Linked DNA regions of Kluyveromyces lactis. The protein of the gene in region 1 interacts with the protein of each later gene in a pairwise test. Links are inferred from orthologs where the notes say so. Each region holds a gene or a part of one and is shown on either strand. Other genes may lie near its edges.

Region 1 (3,094 bases):
CTTCATTTTGTCGTTTCTTCAAAAGGTCGGCGGATTTTCTTGCTAGGAATAGTAAATCATCTGGTTCATTAGATACTTGTTCCTCGTATAGTTCGTCTTCGTCGAGATTCCTATAATTATCTTTCCTCTTGATAACGGTGTGTGACAATGCCTTTGACGCTTCTTCTTCTTCTGGTTGTGGAAATGTTCGTTTCTTGATCAGAAACCGAGGTTTCTTCGCAGGAACTGTGTCTGATATTAAGTCATCAATACTGACGGGCCTTAGCATGGTAAAGTGTGATACTTTCTACCCATCTTTACAATCGTGTAATATTGCAATACCTTTGAGAAATGAGATGAGCTCCACCGTCTTAAAGCTTAAAGAACTTAAAGGCACAGTTTCTGATATTGTCGCCACGAATAACCTAATACGGTATATGTCCGGGTAATAACATCGCCCCAAACCTGTTCCGAAAAATCATGGCGATAATCTCAATCAATCTCTGGAGCTTTGAAAAACTCCAGAGATTGATGAATCATGATTTAAACAAACTAACCGAACACTTTCATGACATTGCCAAGGTTGAATTCATATATAACTGGATTCATCAACATATCAAATCTACATACTTTCTACGCAGAACTTGTCATTGTGTTCATTTGTTTGAGCTAGTAGCTTTATTATCAATCATCAAGGGAGCTAAAAGGGTTTACTAAGCATAGACTAAGGGAGCTCATCAAGGGAGGTGGTAGAGTTTAAAAACAAGAAAATATCCCATCTCATTTGACATAATACAATTATGAGTGCAGATTGTTCCGTTGGATCAAATCCTCTCGCGCAGTTGAATAAACATGCCCAGCAGAATCCTGCTCTGAGACAAGTGGGGTATCAAAATCCGGCCAGTAATGTTGCTCAAAACTTCAAAACTCATGTGAATGAAGTATCCAATGCAAATCGTTTTCAAATGGACCAGTTTATGAACAGGTCACCTGGTTTTTCTGATGGTCAGTTGGGAATGGCGCCTGTTCCTAGTGCTATTCTTTCGCATGGTCCTCGTTTTGGACTAAAGAAACAAGATAGTGGAAGCAGTAATATGTCAGCAGGCGATACAGCTCAGCATTCCAGGAGCTGGGGTAATGAATTTAATAGCAGATCTCCTCAACAGGGTTTAGCCAGCAGAGTCAATAATGTTGAAAGAATAAGCAACACAAATTCTATGAGTTCATACAGGCCTGGCATGTCCCGGATCGGGAGGCCGATGATGCATACAGGTATTTCTTCATTACATAATTATTCTCACATGTCTCAGCAAACACCGCAAATGTCCAGTGATGATGGTGTTCTCGCTGACAAGCAGTGGAATGAGCAGTTTGAAGCCTTGGAGAAGGCTGTGGCTGAAAATTTGACCATGGAGGACAATAAAGAGGAAACCAAGGAGGAGATAGTAGTGGAGGATGGATATCAAGCAGACTTCCAAGAAGTCTGGGATAAGTTACAAGCGGAGACGGCTGATAATAATTTGGAAACAAGTGATTCTCAATGGGAGAAAGATTACGCTCGCTATATGACTGGTAAAGCAACACATATTCCACCTTACAGATTTGATAATGATAACCAATACATGCATAATCCAAATGCCTATGAAATTGGATGTATCCTAATGGAAAATGGGGCGAAGCTAAGTGAAGCTGCATTGGCTTTCGAAGCTGCTGTGCAAGAAGACCCCGCGCATGTAGATGCATGGTTAAAGCTTGGATTGGTTCAAACACAAAACGAAAAAGAAATGAATGGTATTAGTGCGCTTGAGCAATGTTTAAGCCTAGACCCCACTAATCAGCAGGCACTCATGACAATTTCTATCAGTTATATTAATGAGGGATATGATCTGACCGCTTTCAGCATGCTCAACAGATGGCTAGATAGTAAGTACCCTGAGTTAACACGCTCCCCTACCATTGATGAGGCCAATATCGATAGGTTTAATTTGAGCAAACAAGTAATCACGAAGTATTTGCAAGTAGCTAACGCCTTGCCTCAGGTGGATCCAGAAGTTCAGCTCGGTTTGGGAACGCTTTTCTATGCCAATGAAGAGTTTGGTAAGACAATTGACTGTTTCCGCACCGCATTAGAAGTCAATCCAAATGACGAATTAATGTGGAACCGTTTGGGAGCCTCTTTGGCCAATTCAAACCGTAGCGAAGAAGCTATCCAGGCATACCACAAGGCCCTTGCCTTGAAACCGTCTTTTGTGAGAGCTCGTTATAACTTGGCCATTTCGTCAATGAATATTGGCTGTTATAAAGAGGCTGCAGAGTCTCTGCTCTCTGCTCTATCTATGCATGAAGTAGAGAATGTTCCAATTACTGGATCAGTCGTGCAATCTAACAATATTCTGGAGACCTTAAAGCGTTCCTTTGTCGCCATGGATAGGAGAGATTTGCTAGAAAAAGTCATGCCGGGCATGGATCTACAGCAATTTCGTAATGAGTTTAACTTCTGATAATGCAACGCAGCGAATAGTCTTTGTTTGATAGGACCATCCTCATATTCATAATGAATTGATCTTTCACCAAGTTTTGCGGAAAAATACATTCGCATAATTAATTACAAGCATTTAGTCGCATATATGTAGTCGTCATTCGATTGTATTCCTCAACGAATAGTGCAGAGGTCCATGCTCACGATCAGTGTACCAGTCAAAGTGTTATGGTAAGCTGTCGCGGTATCTAGAGACAGATTGCGATTCTATCATTTCTACCGGGTAACATTTTCTTGTTTTGGATTTCTTCATTTTAAAGCGAGTTGCAAGAATTTGAAGTAATGTCAACAGAGTAAAAATATATGTTCTCTATAGATAAACTCCAGAGTAGTACAAAACAATCATTTACTGGTTGTTGTTTGTGTATCTAAGTGATTTCGTTAGTACTTCAATACGTTAAGGAAATATAGTGTGACTGCTTGGAGCAGAAAATACTATTGATCGCGTTTTGCTGTTTTTCTGAGGCATCCAACTTGATCCGATTTATTGTATATTGTACGTGAACGAGAGACCAGTCAGAAAATCTAGATAGGATCAATGACTTCGAGTACACCTTATGAGTACTCATACGAATT
Region 2 (3,768 bases), on another chromosome or scaffold:
ATTCGAGAACTATGAATTTTCAAAGAAAGTGCTTAATTCACTTATTTTCATGGAATGAAGGTAATTTCAATTCAAAAGATCACCAAACAAACAAGATACAGAATCTGGTAAAAAGGGGGAGCCTATTAAACAAAAGGAAAACAAACGGTACATCGAATATATATGTCATGGGTCACAAGATAGAGGAAACATTTTGAATTGAGCTTGTGGCCTATCACTAATCCACAACTCAGCCTTACTCGTTGCTTACTTGCTTCTGAATATCAAATGGAACTAGAGAATGTCCTCGGCCGGGTAATAAGTATTATGGTTATATACAAGCATATATATATATGTTTACTGCACCACATTTTTCACGTAACGTGACCAGCATATTCAAAAAAAAAAAGGAGACAACGAAGTTTTATATCCGGGTAACAATATTAGACCCCCTTTTCTCCAAATCCATTCTGTTTGTCACGTTACCCGGAAATGCATCGTGTCATTACTGACGATCCGTTTTATCACATTTCTCCTCACCAGCAGTTCTCCCTATGTGCTAGCTCCGATTTCGATTTCAGTCATCCCGAAACTTGGAAACCCCTACTGCACATAATGTGCACTCGCAATGAGGAAAGAATATAGAAGCAGAGAAATGGTTACAGAATATTAACGCCGGAAGGGTATCGGATGGCGTGGGTAAATTAAGCCCGCCCAGCGAAGGCACGCTTGAAGCATGCGCTTACATATCCAAACTCCAATTACTTTATTCTCTGTTCATTAAGCTGCGATTATCTCTATCCTAAAACACTAGTAACAGCTGGTGTGATCTTCTATTTAATTACCTTGAAGGCATTCAGTTTCGCATTATATTGCTCGCTCGGTATATTGACTAGTGCTAGTTTAGTGCCCTTGGAGTTAGCGCGGATTGATTAGCGTATTATCTGAATCCCTGAACTTTTTTTTTGTGGGGAAACTCTCGGCCATATCATATTGTCCCCTTCTCTGGAGTTAATCCTTCTCCTTTTCTTTAACGCCCACATAATGCGTACCTTTGGCTTCATTTGTTCTGAACCACGTGAGAATTTAGGCGCCTCTCTTTAATTTGTATATATTCTTTGTCATGCGTCAGCGTTTTCTTACCCCAAATTATGTTATATAAAAGAACTACATCGAAACAGTTCTACAAGAAAAGATTAACATTCCAGTAAAAGATAATAGATTGATACACTTAAATATTTTATTGATACTGAGAACCTTGCGTGTGTGATTACGATAATTCCGAAATCACATATCTTTAAGAAGGATTACAAAATAAGATAATCAAGACAAAAAATGACTAGACAATCTACGGTAGATCAAAATCAGTCTACGTATAATGCCAAGAACTTCATTACTAAGGAAAGACAAGAATCAAAATTAGATATTGACCAGTTGAATGTATTTTTGGAAAATGGAGAGCAAGAAGCGAAATTGACCCATGATTTGATCGAAGAAATTATCAATGACCCTATTTTAAAGACGGATACGGATCATTACGATATTACGAAGTCTCAGGAAAGAGAGATTACTGCAAGAAGAATTGCCAGGTTATCGCTTTATATGGAACACGATGTGAAAACCAAACAAAGAGAGTTCAAAGATGATTTGGTAAAAAACTTAGAAAGGAAGGACTCGAAATTGTTAACGAACAAGGATCTATCTATCTTTGATAGAAGATTATCACTTGTTGCGAACATCGATCCAGGTTTATCCACAAGAATTGGAGTTCATCTAGGACTTTTCGGGAATTGTATCAAGGGTAATGGTACCGACGAGCAGATCCATTATTGGCTACAAGAAAAGGGAGCTCTTTTATTGAAGGGTATCTATGGTTGTTTTGCTATGACGGAATTGGGACATGGTTCAAATGTGGCTCAATTACAAACTACGGCTACCTATGACCCTAGTTCTGACACTTTCAAAATTAATACTCCAGACTTGCTGGCAACTAAATGGTGGATTGGTGGTGCTGCTCATTCAGCAACCCATACCACTGCTTATGCAAGGTTGATAGTCAATGGTAAGGATTATGGTGTCAAGACGTTTGTTGTTCCTCTAAGAGATGAGAAAACCCTCAACTTATTGCCAGGTATAATGATTGGTGATATAGGTGCAAAAATGGGTAGAGACGGAATTGATAACGGTTGGATTCAATTCAAGAATGTTGTCATTCCAAGACAGTTCATGCTACAGAGATTTACCAAGGTTATTCCTGGTTCTCCACCGAAGGTTCAAACGCAACCGTTATTGGATCAGATTTCAGGGTACAGTGCATTGTTGAGTGGCCGTGTTAACATGGTTATGGATTCCTTCAGATTTGGCTCCAAATTTGCAATTATTGCAACACGTTATGCCGTAGGTAGACAGCAGTTTGGTCCTGAAGGTAATGAAACTCAATTGATTGACTATCCTTTGCACCAATACCGTGTGTTGCCGCAGTTGGCACTTTGTTATTTGGTGGCACCCACTGCACATAAATTGATGGGAACCTATATTTCAACCCTAATGGAATTGCATCAGGCAGGAGCAGATAAAGCAAAATTGATTAATGTTAGTAATAAGTTGAAGGATTTATTCATTGATTCTGCCTCATTAAAAGCTACTAATACGTGGTTGGTGGCCAAATTGATTGATGATCTCAGGCAAACATGCGGTGGCCATGGATACTCTTCCTACAATGGATTTGGTAAAGGCTACAATGACTGGGTTGTTCAATGTACCTGGGAAGGTGACAACAATATCCTCTCATTAACATCAGCTAAGAGTATTGTTAAGAAGTTTGCTGATATCTCACGGGGTAAAAATACTACTGTCACTACCGACTCATTAAAATACTTGACTCCTCAGTTTATTGGTAAGAGCTTGTCCAAGGACCTGACCTTCAAATTTGACAACAAGAAAGATTTCACGGAAATATGGGCCGTCATGATTATTAGATTGATCCACCATGTGGTAGAGTTGATTTCAAAGGGTACCAAAATTGATTCGTTATCCAAAACTTTAGTTCAGATTTCAAAGTTCCATGCAATTCATTCTATGCTCTTGACATACCAAGACAAGTTAAACAATGAATCTGAAGCATCAGTAAAAGATGCTTACACGAAAGGTTACCTATGGAAGCTATATGAATTGTTTTCTTTGTATTTCATCGATCAACATCTTGGTGAATTCCTTTTGTTGAAAGTTGTGACGTCAGATCAAATGTCACAAGTGCTACAGCCAAGATTATTGCAACTATTACCTGAAATAAGGAAAGAATGTATAGCATTGACAGATGCCTTTAAACTACCAGATGCGATGATTAATGCCCCTATCGGATATTACGATGGTGACATTTATCACAATTATTTCAATGAAGTGACAAATAATAACAAACTTGAACCTGACGGCGCTGGTAGACCACCATATTATCCATTATTAACCAGCATGCTTGGTCGCGACGATTTTCAAAACAGATTAGGAGGTTCCTTCGAATCAGAAACCTTAGATTCTTTATTGAAATAATTACATACGCCCTTATTTTTTTGTATCAACCATGTAACCTTAATGAATGTAATGAAAATATTATACTGCTCTGTTAATAAGGAAGGTGTAAGACAAGATCTAGCCTCAATTCAAAAGTATCTCGTTTCAGTGGATGATGTATTTGTGTAAACATAAAACCAGCCCCTGATACGTATCAAACTTTATATTTGGAGCTCAAAGTTATTTTTCGATTCTAAAGCATGTGAATTATGCGTCTATTGC

The links.
Region 2: the proteins of PEX5 (region 1) and POX1 interact in a two-hybrid assay, tested with the Saccharomyces cerevisiae proteins (2 studies listed by BioGRID). The link is inferred for Kluyveromyces lactis from reciprocal best matches to the Saccharomyces cerevisiae genes PEX5 and POX1.

The regions. Positions count from the first base shown.
Region 1 is NC_006039.1:1,340,791-1,343,884, forward strand, and holds PEX5 (Pex5p), read left to right. Parts: upstream 1-779; coding exon 780-2,480; downstream 2,481-3,094. Other genes in the region: mRNA splicing protein PRP28, read right to left, coding at 1-268; MNN10 (alpha-1,6-mannosyltransferase), read left to right, coding at 3,057-3,094. UniProt on the Saccharomyces cerevisiae protein: Receptor that mediates peroxisomal import of proteins containing a C-terminal PTS1-type tripeptide peroxisomal targeting signal (SKL-type).
Region 2 is NC_006042.1:916,700-920,467, forward strand, and holds POX1 (acyl-CoA oxidase), read left to right. Parts: upstream 1-1,314; coding exon 1,315-3,525; downstream 3,526-3,768.